Linked DNA regions of Oryctolagus cuniculus. The protein of the gene in region 1 purifies or fractionates together with the protein of each later gene. This does not show direct contact. Links are inferred from orthologs where the notes say so. Each region holds a gene or a part of one and is shown in the gene's direction. Other genes may lie near its edges.

Evidence for each region.
Region 2: the proteins of NEUROG3 (region 1) and C1QBP purify together in Homo sapiens (affinity purification with mass spectrometry; 3 studies listed by BioGRID and IntAct, counting the BioPlex papers as one, with this or other methods). This does not show direct contact. The link is inferred for Oryctolagus cuniculus from reciprocal best matches to the Homo sapiens genes NEUROG3 and C1QBP.

Annotation. Positions count from the first base shown.
Region 1 is NC_091446.1:61,289,139-61,296,428, reverse strand, and holds NEUROG3 (neurogenin-3), read left to right. Parts: upstream 1-4,030; 5' UTR 4,031-4,270; intron 4,271-4,424; 5' UTR 4,425-4,425; coding exon 4,426-5,073; 3' UTR 5,074-5,506; downstream 5,507-7,290. UniProt on the Homo sapiens protein: Acts as a transcriptional regulator. Together with NKX2-2, initiates transcriptional activation of NEUROD1. Involved in neurogenesis. Also required for the specification of a common precursor of the 4 pancreatic endocrine cell types.
Region 2 is NC_091448.1:50,899,041-50,906,911, forward strand, and holds the end of C1QBP (complement component 1 Q subcomponent-binding protein, mitochondrial), read left to right. Parts: intron 1-2,927; coding exon 2,928-3,021; intron 3,022-4,008; coding exon 4,009-4,104; intron 4,105-4,340; coding exon 4,341-4,463; intron 4,464-4,582; coding exon 4,583-4,732; 3' UTR 4,733-4,951; downstream 4,952-7,871. Other genes in the region: RPAIN (RPA-interacting protein), read right to left, coding at 5,134-5,163, 6,154-6,294, 7,670-7,733, 7,855-7,871.

The DNA of each region.
Region 1 (7,290 bases):
TCACAGTAGCTCTCCCTCCTCCCACCCCCACTCCCCGCGCAGCTCCTGAGCGGGCGCAGAGTGGAGAGAGGCGCTGAGAAGAGGCGCCGCTTCAACAGGTGTCTCAGTGCGCAATGCACCTTTTCACGCATTCACGGTCTCCGCGGGCGGCGGAGATAATGTGGAGACTTTGTTTCCAGGCGCTGCGCGCGAGCTGCGGACACCGGGGGAGGCGGCTCTGGGCAGGGAGGGGGGAATCTAGAAAGAAAGACCTCCGGCGCTCCCAAGCGCCCGGGCCCTCTCCTCCCTTTGTTTGGGGACTCCCTGGGCCGGGGCTCCCTCGTGCGCCCTGGGGGGTGGCATATGGCGCCCTCTCACCTACCCAAGAAAAAGAACCAGCCACCTATTCAAGAGCGCACGAGGTCTCCCGGCCTGGGGAGGGGGAGTCCCTTAGGGAATGGCTTCTGTCCCAAAACCAGGGAGAAGCCCACCGCGCTGCTCACTCCCCACCCAGGCTCTGCCACCCCCTCAGCTGGCACAGCAGCCGTTGGGTGGGGAGCAGCGCGCTGGGCAACACCAGGCTGCGGAAGCGCCCCGGCTCCTGGCAGATGAAATATGGGGCTGGTAAGCCCCTGGAGACCATATGCTTTCAATAAAAGAAGACAAATAGGACCGAGATAGGCCTTGCAGCCAACCTGTTATAAATGAGTGGCAATTGGGCCAATGTACACGGGGGCAGGGCCGGGGGGAAACCTTCTCGGTGCCAAATCCATGTGTCAGCTTCTGAGACAGGTGTGCCCAGGGGCCAGGGGCCAGGTCTCCCCCTCCGGGTTTATCACGGCAAAGGTAATATTGTGCTAACTATGAGTAAACAGTCATTGTGAAAACGAGGGAGAGTTTATCTGAGGAGAACTAGTTGGGGGGTGGCTTAACAATAAACTTGTCCGCCTTGGGAGCAGGTGACGGCTGGCTGTGCAGACTCCCGCGCTAGATGTTTTCCAAAGCACTCCACTTTACAATCTCTTGTAATTATTTATTAAACGAAATCTATTTATTATTATTTTAGCAAACACTGGAGACAGGTGGGGCTTTCTTTTCGCCGTCTCCTTTTGTTTGAAGGGCTGTTTGAAGTGGCCCGTCTCGGCCCGGGCAGCTCGCTCGCCAGATTTTTGTCTTCTCCTCTTTCAGTGCCGAGGCGAAGGCGAGAGAAAGAAGCCCCCTTCTCTGGCAAGCCACTAGCTATTCAGCTTCCTGCGGCCCCCCTCCCTCCCCACTCCGTTCTCAAAGAGCCCCCAGGCAGTGCTAAGACCCCCCTCCCCTGCCGACGGGAAGGCGGTAGGAGCAGCCGCTGCCTTCCTTCTTTTCCAATCTGCCCGCGTTCTCCAGGCGCCTGGCTGTCGCCTCTCTCTTGGACCCTTTCATCCTCCAAGCAAGCCTAGTTCCGAAGGAATCGAGGGGCGCGGGGTTCCTGGAGGCGGTGGATGACTAGGAGCTGCGGGAACGGGCTCTGCTCCGGGCGGGACCAGCGGTTTTACAAACATAGCCAGGGCGCACGGAGCGGTAACCATTTGCGCCTCCGCCGCCAAAAGCTCAGGAATTAACTTTGGATAGGGGTCTGTACGTCCCCGGCAGCCAAGAGGGAGGGCGTTGATTACCAATTTCGAATCTCCAGGGACTCTTCGACCTCCGCCCCCACTTCCTGGCCGGAGCGAGAGCGGCGCGCATCCTTGCCTCTGCAGGGAGGCAGCTGATTCCGCCGCGGCGCGCGCCTCTTCCTAACTGCTTTTTGCGCAAAGAGGAGTGGTGGCGGCCTGAGAGCCCTAGAGGGCTCTGAGCTGAAGGAGTAATGGGGAAGCTGGATTAGAATTCCCGGCGGGTCTCAGAATCCTCTATAATCAAGACAACCCCAAAGAATCCCAGAATCCTCTCAGGCGCAGGCAGCCTCCCTGTGGCTCTGGCCAGTACCCATTAGGCCATGTTCTCGCAACTCCACCTCTATATCAGAGTCTCAGCTGTGGCCTGCTCTTCAATTCTCCAGGGACTCACAAGGGTGCTTGAGTCCCTCGTGGTCAGGGCTCCCTCAAAGGAGCCTGGAGGGGACCAGGGGTCCTAGGAACAGGCTTTGGGGTCCTCTCCCAGACCCTAGTTTTCAAGGCTCTAAATCCTGCAGGAAAGTGGAAAGACAAGACGAGTGTGTGTGCAACCACCTCTCCTTGGCTGGGAGATGGGGGCCATTAATTTTTTCCAGTCCAATCCAATCCCATCAGTCTTCACACACTCAGGACTCCCTCTGAGGTCTCTCTTGCCTTGAGAAAACATTTTCCTCCAAATTAAGAAAAGCAGCCTGCGCAAGGGAAACATCCAGGACTAGGAGTCAGGATGTTAAGTTCTATGTGGTTCTGATAGAATAAGCTGTATGACCTGAGGCACCCTTCCCCTGGCCTTGATTTTCCCATCTGTAAAGGGGACCTCCAGTTTTCATTATGACAGACAAGCTTGTGCCAAGTCCTGACCTAAGGGAGGAGCCACAGCAAAAATGCTGAGCCAAAAATCCCTTCTGGTCCCTTTGATGGCTCCTACCCTGACCCCAAACTTCATTTCCAGGCAGCAAGGGTAGGTGCCTCTGCTCCCAGCCCATCAGCTGAGATCCACAGGAACTGTGAGACCCCTGCCCAATCCTGCAGCCTGCCTCACCCACCGGCCCCCAAGCATCACACCCTCTGTTTTGGAGAGAATTTCACCCACCATGCAGCCTGGGTGGTGGGAGGCTGACAACAGGGCAGACCCTGAAGACCTATATCACCCCCTCATCGGATCTCCAGTCAGCTGGGTCCTGTGGCCTGCTTCCTGCAGATTCGGCAAGGCCCAAGGTACCTGCACCTGCTAGAAATGGAAGCCTTTCACCACCTGGGAGACTGAATCTCCGACCTCAGCTTCCTTCCCAGGCACATCCTGGTCAAGAGAGAGGTATGGAAGCAGCAACCCCTCTCTCCCTGAGTGACTAGAAGCAGAAGAGTGTCTGAGGCAGGGAAGGGAGGGGTAAAGAGGGAAGAGGCACTCTGGAAAGACTTCCAGACCTGCAGACAGGCAGGCGAAGGCTTTGGACAGTCCCTGCCCAGTGCTGCCGGGAACCCCTGTGTGATGCTCCACAGGGAGCCGAGCCAGGTGAAATAGGCAGCCCTTGCCCCCTGTGGTTGGCAGGAGTGGGAGTGGGGGACTAAAGTGAGACACGGCTGATCCCCTTATCCCAGTGCCAGAACACCCACGCATTAGCAAGACCCAAGGCTTGCCAAGAACGCCTGGCCCCCTCTGGACCTCTCACACTCCCCACCCCCAGCTCTGGGCACCCAGGCCCTGGTCAGAGTGCTAGGTTACTGTCTATGAGTGGGAATGGCAAAATATCAGTAGGGGATGGGAGTCTGGAGGAGGGGGTGACAAAATGTCTGAGCCCCCCAGATGGGGATGAGGAGCGCAACTCAGGGAGGGGCAGGGGCTCGGACCCCCCTCCCCAGGGCTCTGAATGGAAGGGGCATAGACCAATCTAACTCCCCGATAGAGTCCCTGCAGCGCCACCCTAGGACCCGTGGGGCAGGAGGGCAGGGTAACCTTTTGGACACCCGGCTACTCAAGCGTCCAGGCACCATCTTGCTGTGCACTTCCGGGCGAGCCGACTGGCCCTCCGTGCCTCTATTGCCCCTTGTGTAACACGCGGGAACTGGCCTTGCCCGCAGGCCTCCTAGGGTTGCCGAGAGGGTCTGGAGAGATGCCGAGGAAAGACGGGATAGGAGCAAAGCGGTCTAGGGCAGCGGGAGGCGAGCCAGACGAGCCTCTTCTCGCTAGGCGAGGCTCTTTGAGGAGCCGAGAGTTGCTGGGACCGAGCCCGCGGGGAGAGAGCAAACAGAGCAGCGCTCCCCTCCCCTCGGCCCCGGTCCTTTGTCCGGAATCCAGCTGTGCCCCGCGGGGGAGGAGCGGGCTCGCGTGGCGCGGGCCCCGGGCCCCTGCGCTGATTGGCCGGTGGCGCGGGCAGCAGTCGGGCCGGCACGCTCCTGGCCCAGGCCGAACGGATAAAGCGTGCCAAGGGGCACACGCCTCGCAGCTCAGACAAGCCCCGCGGTCTCTGCCGGCTGAAAGACAGCGAAAGAGACCCGGGACCCCCTTCACTCTCCTCTTCTCCTCGGAGGCTGGGGCAATTCCCAGGCGGGGGCGCTTGCAGCTCAGCTGAACTTGGCCGGAGAAAGGAGCGCTCAGCTCCCCGCTGCTCACGGCTCTCTATTTGCGCCTGCACAACAAGGTAACACTTGGAGGCCACCGAGGGGCGAGCGAGGGTACTGGGGGCCCTCGGATCGGGAGGGGGTGTTTTTCAGTTTTCCCCCACCTGGCCTCGGGATCGGGGACCGCCCTAGGTCACTGTCCCATTCTTACCGTTAGTTCTTACCCTGCGGCAGGATGGTGCCTCATCCTTTGGGTGCGCCCACTCTCCGAGCGACCCATGAGACCGAGCCACCCTTCCCCGGAGCTTCGGACCGCGAAGTGCCCAGCGCCTTGTCCGCCCCGCCTAGCCCCACACTTATGCTCCGGGACTGCGCGGAAGCTGAAGGAGGCGGCTGCCGAGGGGCAGCGAGGAAACTCCGGGCGCGGCGCGGGGGGCGCAGCCGGCCCAAGAGCGAGCTGGCGCTGAGCAAGCAGCGACGGAGTCGGCGCAAGAAAGCCAACGACCGCGAGCGCAATCGCATGCACAACCTCAACTCCGCGCTGGACGCGCTGCGCGGAGTCCTGCCCACATTCCCCGACGACGCGAAGCTCACCAAGATCGAGACGCTGCGCTTCGCCCACAACTACATCTGGGCGCTGACGCAGGCGCTGCGCATAGCCGACCACAGCTTCTACGGGCCAGAGCAGCCAGTGCTGCCCTCTGCGGAGCTGGGCAGCCCTGACGGCGGCTCCCCCGGGGACTGGGGCTCTCTCTATTCTCCAGTCTCCCAGGCTGGCAGTCTGAGCCCCGCCGCCTCGCCGGAGGAGCGCACTGGGCTTCAGGTGCCCAGCTCCCCCGCCTGCCTGCGCCCAGGCGCCTTGGCTTTCTCAGACTTTCTGTGAAGTGGCCACTCGGTTGCTGGGCAGAGGGTACTGGGAGAGGAGGCAGGCGGAGCGACTGCGGGTGGGCAGTGGCGGCCCTCAAACAGACTTGCGCCTCCTGCTCCTGACCGGCCAAGGCGCCCGCGGGGCGGCAGGCTGGGTTCCATTAGGCTGGCAGCAGGCCCTCCGCGCCTCGAAAACCCCTGCCGCCGCACACAAGGCCGGCATTGCAGGCTCGAGCATGGCTCAGGTCCTTCTCCCAGCACCCACTTACGCACCTCGCTCAGAGAAGAGGAGGATGGTAGCACCACGCCCCCGCAGCCCCCCCCCCCGCGCGGCCCGATCACCCTACTCTCACTCATGCCCACCCCTCTCACAGTGTAACTGAACCCCACATGTGGTCTCTCGGTGCTTGCTCCCCCAACCCCCACCCTACTCCAAAGACGCCGCTTACTTCTTCTACCCGCATCCAGTCCGGGGTCTGGAGCTGCCCCACACCGCCTCAATTTTGGAGGGCGAGCCCCTGCCTTCTCCTCTTGCACTTTTCGAAGCCATTGCCCTCCCGGGCGCTGGAGACCAGGCTGTGAATTGGGAAAGCACCAGCCAGCCAGCCGGTCGCAGGGACCACCTTTCCAGCCTCCTTGCCTCCTGCGCAGGACACGTGAGTTGGAGCAGCAGGTGCCTGGAGCCCCGCGCGTCCCTTAAAAAAGAAATCAATTTGTAAATCATGTGATGCCTTTTGGAATGAGTTTTGGTATGGTAAATTATATAGCCTTTCCCTTGTTCTACACACTTGTATTTATTATGCGATTTCACAGCAGCAAAAGTCTATATTTTGTACATAAGAGTATTTAGGGACTGGTGAATGAACTTTTGAATCAATAAAAACAAAATCCTCAGGACACCTCAGCAAGCTCAGTTGTGCTGCCAAGAGGGGAGGGCTGCAGCCGGTGTGGCTGAAGAAGGGGTCCCTCCCGTGGGCGCTGGGCTGGAGGCCAGGGGGGTTGCATTCCGAAAGCTGGAGTCACTTAAGAGATCATTGGCCCAGCCCCCTTGTTTTCTTTGTGGGGCAGCGAGTTGTCTAATTTCAAAACGTGGTTTAGCAGAAAGATGAGCCTCTAACTGGGGCTGCAGACTGGCACTGCGGGCGCTCTCCCCTGTGCTGCCAGCCTGGCCTTGGATTGACTTGTACTTGAGAAGGGGGAGAGTCCTCAGAAACACCACCGCTGGGTTGGGCATCCCAGGAATCTTCCTCAGGCGCTTCAAGGTGTAGCACATCCCCCTAAGCGCATTTTACGCACCAGGCACTGCTGCGGCAGGCAGCCTCTCAATTCATGGAGCTGAGTAATGGGCAGTGGAAAAGACAGAGGGTCCAGCTGAAACCTCTGGCGCCCCCTGGACACTTGGCTGCCTGGACTGAAATTTTATTGAGAAACGGTTCGAGCGAGGTTGCCAGCCCCGCGATCTCTCTCGATCTCTCTCGTGCCCTTACCAGGGATAATGGGGCTGGTTCCCCACCGGCACCAAACCAGTCCCCAGGGCGCTACTGGAACGCCCTCTCCCAGGGCTTTTGGGACCCTTAAGGCCTCAAGGAAGCTGGTGTGCACTGCAGGAATTGGCAGAGTCCGTTTGACTCTTGGGAAAAGGAAACTAGATGGGGGGGGGGGGTGCCCTACCTGCTAGTTGAACCTGAGAGGTCTCCTTGGGTTCACCTAGGAATGCTGTGAAGAAATGGGGCAACTCTGGTAGGGGCAGGGCTGCCTGGGGTCCAATGATGGAGGACAGGCAGCTTTCCAGGCATCGCCACCTCTGGCCTCTCTTTCTCCTAGGCCACCTCCCCAGTTCATATTCAACTGCTCCTTTCCTCTACTCTCAGGTCCCTAAAGGTAGCTCATAGATTTGTCTCAGTTAAGGGGTGGGAATGGGGACACAGCAAACAAAGAATGAACAGAGGTGTTGTTTCATTTCAGGGCTTTAATCTAAGAGGAGGAGATTAATGGGTTATTAGTGACCTGTGCAACAGCCAGTGTTCCATCTGGGGCACCGCCTGGGGGCAGGTGTCAGCTGCCCAGACCGGGCCTGTGCCTGCTACTTGTTGGTGGGGGTGGGGGCAGGGTGTGGGCAGAGGTAAAAATCAGCGTGATCTCTGCCCTCCAGGGGCAGTAGCATGGATGTAGACCAAATGACTCAAAGCCAAAGCAGTATTGGTGCTAGGCAGAGGTCTGTTACCTGGGCTTG
Region 2 (7,871 bases), on another chromosome or scaffold:
CATATGGGTGCCGGTTCAAGTCTTGGCTGCTCCACTTCTGACCCAGCGCCCTGTTTCTGCTCCTGGGAAAGCAGCGGAAAATGGCTCAAGTGCTTGGGTCCCTGCACCCACATGGGAGGCCTGGAAGAAGTTCCTGGTTTCCATCTGGCCATTGTAGCCATTTGGGGAGTGAACCAGCAGATGGAAGATCTCTTTCTAACTCTGTCTTTCAAATACAATAAATAAATCATAAAGGAAAAAAAAAAAGACAAGTGAATTTGCAAAGATGGCCAACCACTGGCATGCGCACAGACAGAACACGTGGCCGAGAGAGCAGGAATTTATTTACGGGCTGGATTTAAATAGCATAGGCCTGATAAGGGCCATGAGGTGCAGTGGAGCTGAGCTAGCTTTTCTATGGAATGCAGAATGCAGAGGGTAGGGTGGGCAACAGTACAGGGCGTAGGACTGAGCTGGTCTCTTGAAGGAAGGTAAAGGGTCCCTCAGGCAAAGAGCCACAATGCCTGAGGCTCATGTCCTTGTTCTGTCAGTTATCCATTCATTTGTTGGCAGGCATTTGACAGGGTTCTATTTACTTTGTGATTCTGGTTTTTTATTTATTTATTTTTTTAATTTTATTTATCTGACAGATAGTTATAGACAGAGACAGAGAGAAAGGTTTTCCTTCCGTTGGTTCACCCCCCAAATGGCTGCTACGGCCGGCGCTGCGCCAGTCCGAAGGCAGGAGCCAGGTGCTTCTCCTGGTCTCCCATGGGGTGCAGGGCCCAAGCACTTGGGCCATCCTTCACTGCCTTCCCGGGCCACAGCAGAGAGCTGGCCTGGAAGAAGGGCAACTGGGACAGAATCTGGCGCCCCGACCGGGACTAGAACCCGGTGTGCCAGGCGCCGCAATGCAGAGGATTAGCCTATTGAGCCACAGCGCCGGCCTTTACTGTCGTTTTGAAAGACAGATAGCTCCCATGTGCTACTTCACTCCCTAAATATTGAAATGTCCAGGTATAGGCTACGCTGGAGCTGGGAGCTGAATCCAGGTTACCAGGTTATTGCCTTAAAGGTGGGCTTTAGATATTCTGGGTGCAGTTCCCCTTATCAGACACAGGGTGTGCAAGTGTTTTCTCCCATCCTTGGGTGTTTTTTTCCTTTCCCTATGTTATTGGTATTGACATACACTTTTTTTAGTTATTGTTTGACTACACCAAGTGAACTATTTTTTTAAAGATTTATTTATTTATTTGAAAGAGTTACGCAGTCACTCCCCAGTTGGCCACAACGACCAGAGCTGTGCCAATCCAAAACCAGGAGTCAGGAGCTTCTGCGTCTCCCACATGGGTGCAGGGGCCCAAGGACTTAAGCCATCTTCTATTGCTTTCCCAGGCCATAGCAGAGAGCCAGGTATGGAGTGGAGCAGCCGGGTCTCAAACTGGCGCCCATATGGGATGCCTGCACTGCAGGCCAGGGCGTTGACCCGCTGTGCCAAAGCACAGGCCCCAACATACACTTCTAATTTTGATGAAGCTCAATTTACTGGGTTTTGTTTTTTGTGTATGTGGGCTTTTTTTTTGTTTTTTTGTCATTTGTGCTTTTTTGACATCACATTTGACAAACTGTTGGGTAACCAAAGTTTCTAGATATTTATGCCCGGATTTACTTGTAAGAGGAGTTTAGCTCTTTAGGCCCGTGATCACTTTGAGTCAACTTTTGTGTACAGTGTGAAGTGTAGGGTTCTGATGCTTTTTCCCCTAGGGTGCAGGGGTTTCGCCCATACACAGTGTCAGTTGACGACTGAAGCTTCACTTGAACTTTTCTTCCGGTTTTCGTAGCCAGTTTGGGGCCGTTAGAAATGATACCCTGATGAACAGTGCTGTGTTTCTGTGTCGAGGAACTCAGCTTGGTCAGCGTGGTTGCAGATAGTTTCTGGGGCTGAGCCTCAGCCTGCCGCTGTTGCCTTGGGAAGGAGCAGCCCGTTAGCTGAGCAGTGGTGTGCAGGGTGCGGGGTCTGCGCTGCCCAGCCACACCTGGTCTACCCCACTGTCACAGGGATTGTGACTCAACCTTCGGAACATGGAATGTCACGAGGATTCTTGTACCTTACGGTTGTCATGTGTTGGTGTTCCAGCCCGTGGGATGAGTCCACAGTGAACGCACTGTCCTTTGCCTGGCCTTGTCTTCCAGGGCGCAGGCCTGCTCTGAGTCCTCAGGTGTATCCCCGCAGTGTGCCTTCCCTTCCTCCCAGCGGCAGATTTTGTCATGGAGAAAGCTTTTTTTTTTTTTTTTCTTTTTAAAGACTTGTTTGTTTGAAAGGTAGAGTTGTAACTCCGGTTTACTCCCAGATGGCCACAACAGCTGAGGCTGGGCCAGGCTGAAGCCAGGAGCTTCCTTCAGGTCTCCCTCATGAGGGGCAGGGGCCCAAGCAGTAGGGTCATCTTCCACTGCTTTTCCCAGGCCATTAGCAGGGAGCTAGCTCGGAAGTAGAGCTACTCCACGAACCAGTGCCCGTATTGGATGCTGGCATCATAGGCAACGCCCTATCCTGTTGTGCCACACCACCAGCCCCGAGAAAAGCTCCTAGAGGGGCTTCTGTTCCATCCCCCCAGCTTCTTATCTGCTCACTTTCACGATACCCCACCCCAGTGAGCAGTGTCAGCTGGTGGTAGGTAACCAGCAGGCGCTAGCCTGATGGGAGGAGCTGGTGCATGGCGTCATCACTTGGAGCTCTGCACATGGAGGTGTGCTGGAGACCTGCTCCCTCTTAGGGCTGGATGTGGGTACCCAGCCTCTGTCCACTTCTGCCAGTGTAGACTGTCAGCTGGTGAAGGGGAAACATCGTTCCTATCAGATTGTTTCTGTGTAGCAGGCCTCCATACCTAACGGCTAGACTACTCCACTACAACTGGACCATGTCTGTTGCGTTTCTTTTGACTTTGTAGGATCACTGTCACTTTCAACATCAACAATAGCATCCCACCAACCTTTGATGGTGAGGAGGAGTCCTCCCAAGGACAGAAGGCTGAGGAACAGGAGGTAAGCTCGTAATATCGTGCCCAGTCTGTGCCTCAGCTCCCCCAGGGGCCTAGAGAAACACCAGGTTTTCTTGTTTTTGTTTTCAAAGATTTATTTGAAAGCAGACTGACAGGGACAAAGATCTTCCATCCTCTGGTTTACTTCCCACATGGCTACAGCAGTCAGGGCTGGGCCAGGCTCAAGCCAGAAGCTCCATCCAGGACGTCACCCATGTGCCAGGCCCATTAGCAGATAGCTGGACCAGGAGTGGAGGAGCTAAGAGCCTGTGGACAGGAAGCAGAACTGAGTCCTTCCCATGACGGGGAGATGTGTGCTATCAGAAATCACCGTTTTCTTTTCCCCGGGGGAGGATGTTCCTAAGTCAGAAGCTGGTGGAAAGCACCAGTCACCTGGCCAGAGTAGGAAAGCCAGGGGCAGCAGAGATGGCATCACTTGGCCAGGTGCGATCTTGGCTTGCCGGCCGTATCGGTGGGAGCTGGGGGTGTCTGGTTTTCTGACATTTTAGGAAGTGGTATACTCAGCCCGGAAGCCCGCCAGTATGAAGGCCAGAGGGTCTCTGACCTTCTGACCGAGTTGTCTCACGCGCCTGCAAGGAGAGCCCAGCTCCCTGAGCGCTTCCATCTCAGCCGCCTGGACTGGCAGCTCCCTGACTTTGGGCTTGGTCTGCTCCTGTCACTGAGGGCCGGGCACGCCAGCCTCTGACCTGGGCTGTAACAGACTCCTGAGACAGCCAAGCCGGAAAGAGATCTTGGCTGTGTGGCTGGCTTTGCAGTGTGTGGGTGCAGAAATGGGTTCAGGAAGTAGAGAGATCTGAGTCTCAGTTGAGTGCATAGAGCTGGGGCTGGAATGCAGGTTTAAAGTGAGTGTAAAGGGCTAAATATCATCCTGACAGGGGTGGCCATCAGATGCTCAGAAGCGTTGGAGGCCTGGCCTGGGCTCTGACCCCTTCCTATAGTGGCACACGCAGACGTGTTTTTGTTTCCTCAGCCTGAACTGACATCAACTCCGAATTTCGTGGTTGAAGTTATAAAGAATGATGGCAAGAAAGCCCTCGTACTGGACTGTCACTTCCCGGAGGATGAGGTGGGTAGAACGGAGTGTGGGCCCTTGACACCCAGGGAGATGAGGGGTGCCTCCTGGGACTAGCAGACACCTGTGGGAGACTGTGGCTTAGAGCAGCAAAGCACGGGAGACAGGTGGCGCGTGGAAGTCAGCTCAGGGTAAAGCTGGGGTTTCACACTAGAAGTGCTCCCTTTTCCGTGCACCTGTCTGGCTTGTCCTGAAAAACCCGTGTTTCCTGGAACACTGTTCCTTCCCAGGTCGGACAAGAGGAGGAGGCTGAGAGTGACATTTTCTCCATCAGGGAAGTTAGCTTTCAGGCTTCCGGCGAGTCTGAGTGGAAGGACACCAACTACACACTCAACACAGACTCCCTGGACTGGGTGAGTGACAGGGTGGGGTGCTCTTGGGCCTTGTAGGGGAGCGTCCTGCCTTGTTCAAGGAGAGAAAGCAGCATTGTCATTAGTGGGCATTACACAGTGTAACACACTGTTTTCCGCAGGCCTTGTATGACCACCTGATGGATTTCCTGGCAGACCGAGGGGTGGACAACACTTTTGCAGATGAGCTGGTGGAGCTCAGCACCGCCCTGGAGCACCAGGAGTACATAACTTTCCTTGAGGACCTCAAAAGTTTTGTCAAGAGCCAGTAGAGTAGGGACAGTGAAACTTGTCTGGCAGGCTGTGGCCAGCGAACAGAACCTGCTCTGACCCCCAGACACCCGTGCGTTGCGACGGTTACCATCCCAATATCATGGAAAATAACATTTAAATTATTACTGTTGCACTCTCATTTTTTTCTGTACAAACTTATTCTAGATTTTTATATAACATACAATGATGGACAATAAATTTGGTTTTATCTCCTCCAAGGTACTTCGTTTTTTCTGTTCCTTGACTTTCAACCTAGACCACGAAACAGCAAGAGCAGAGGTGTTTGAAAAGTTTTAATACAAAATAAATTATAAGTTAAAGGTTGCTATGTACAAGGCCTCTGCTGGAGAGGGAGTGAGTTGTGGTCGGCCCAGGAGAACGGTGCGAATGCAGGCCAGCTCTAGACGATCACAGCCCAGGTGTCACAGGCCTGGAGTGAAACAGGACATATCTGTTAGGAAAGTTACCCACATCCGTGGCCAGAAGCTGCAACCAGTAATGACACTGAGGCAACAATTAGAATGTCTACACCCTGGACGGTGCTGGTCGGCTTCAGTTACAAGTGGGAATGAGTTCAGCCAGAGCGGCTGGTCCTCAAAGGGGCTGCTGGTGGACCGACCTCCCAGGCTTGCTGGAATGTCTACCTTTGACTGTTCATCCCTGGGAGCCTGATGAACCACTGTGCTTCCTCCTGTTTCTCACCTCCCCTCCAAAACGCCCAACAGTGGGCTCGCCCGTCCTGGAACCAGCTCTCGCTATGAAATCCATACCTCAAGTTTTCATAATACATGTTTCCCATGAACTTTCTGAAGACCCCTCGTGCACAGATTTTAGACATTTTTGTGCCAAAATAAAAATATTTTACTTCCATACCCTATGAACTTTCTGATCACCTTAATATATGTGTGTGTATATGTATATGTAATATATCACTTATAAGAAATAATGGTTCCTGTAGCAAGCTTAAGGCGTCTAAGACAGGTGGCTCCAGTACCTCCTTGTGTAGTCCTGTCCCTCACACCTGAGTTGCCAGACACTAATCCTTGGACTTCTGAAGACTTGCTGAAAGGTGGCCCTGCTGTGCGTCCTGTCCTGTACCCACCTGCAGGGGTGTCAGGGTGACCCACTGGGTCTTAGGACTACCGAGCTGACTACACAAGCACAGTGCAGGTGGGCTCCCTGACCCTCCCCCACCCCCACCCCCACACTCCTGCCCCACTCCTAGGCTGCCTCTTCCCCTTCACACAATGATTGGCCTCCAGCTGAAATGACTTGTGGCCTTCACAGTTCTGTGCCAGCAATTCCTCCAAGAAAAAAAAAACTGCATTAAACATTGACCTGTTTGGGAGCCATTATTTTTACTAGAGTGGGAAGACAACACTGAGCTGCTGGTAACCACTGGGTCCCAGGAGAGACTTACCAGACAGCTCATGAGAAGACTGGGCTTCTCCTCTGTTCCACCGGTGACTGAAAATTCAGGGGTGTGGGGACAATGGGTGCTGTGCTCATTCACGCTGTCCTCTAAAGACGCTCGAAGCATCTGCTCCGTCAGCTCTGGAGACTAAAAAAAGTTCGACCACAACCGCGTCTTAGTTACCTGACAGCTGACAGGCTGAAAATCCTGGTTTCTCTTGCTAACCAGCGTAGCACTGGCTCCCTGGGATGGCTTCCTCCCCCACAGTTGGAGATCTGCGTGGGCTCATGGCTGCTGGGAGGATCTCTGAACCAGTGTCCACTCACCACCTCTCCAGATTGCCCAGGGCACCCCCCGTTCCTGAACTTTGAGAGCTAGGAGGACAGGTCCCGGCCTCGGCCCCTGCCCCTCCTGGCCTGGTGTATCCTTGCCAAGAACTGGCAGCATTTGCTCCCAGAGATCTCACTGAACCTGCTGCCACTGCAACTCCGATGGCAACCAGTAATAAAGGGGATGGAAATCAAGTTTCAGTTTTATGATGAGAAGCAGAAAGTTCAGGAAGCACTCAAAAAGGGAAGTTGCTTTTGAAAAAGTTGGGTGGGCATTTGGTACATTGGTTAAGATGGGCCCATCCCATATTGGAGTGCCTGGTTCGGATCTGCTCCCACTCCAACTCCCTGCTAATTCACACTCTAAGAGGCAGCGGATGGTGGGGCACGTAGTTGGGATCCTGTCATGCACACGGGAGACCTGAACGTTCCCAGCTCCTGGCTTGGGCTGCTGGGAGTGAACCAGCAAATGGGGCTGGCTCGTGCTTGCTTGCCCGCTCTCCCTCCCTCTATACACACACACACACACACACACACACACACACATTCACACATTTATATACTTCTGCCAATCAATTTTTTTAAAAGCTGTTGAAATACATAAAAGATGGGAAAAAAGAAAAAAATCCTACAGTTGTATGACTAGTTGCTTTATCCATTGCTAACAAACAAGAGTTTTCTATGTAGAAACAATGACTCAGCTCCCCAGCACAGCCCCACTCAAAGACTGGTAAATAAACTTAAGAGGTGTCAAATTTACCGTGGTATGTTTCATTTTTATAATTTTCCACTGGAACCAACGGCTCAACTCACTGACTATTTGCAGTCCCCATGTCAGGTAAGAGACCACCTCCCCTATTTTTAAAGATCACCAAAACTTACATTCTGAATGGAAGTGTGTCTTCACACAGGAAATTTTAATGAAAGGTCACATACGGGCATTTCCAGTTCTAAACTGGGGTCTCTCTTAAGCAGTGCCAGCGCTCTAGGGGAGGAGCCCGTGGAGATCTGTGAGGTTTGCCAGTTTGCACACCATATGTACTCTCACCACATTCACCATATGTGTGTTGGACTGCCACCGTGACATCCCTGAACACTAAGCTAGGAAGAGATGGGCACAGTGGGCTCCAGCCCGTCGCTGGGGGCTCTCCCAGGAAGCAGATCCGTGTGGGAACTCGGGGCAGAACACTTACGTGAGATGGGATGGACAGGCCACAATGGCACGCGACCACGCCGCCCGTTATTCTCAGGTTGTACCTAGAAGCAGAATGGGGATTCCAGAGCATCATGGCCACCAGATCTGGCTCCCCAAACCTTTCCAACGCCGGGGAGAGACCGCACTCACCAACAGTGGGGGAAAGGTTTTAAAGACTCTTACTTTGTACACACAGGGCA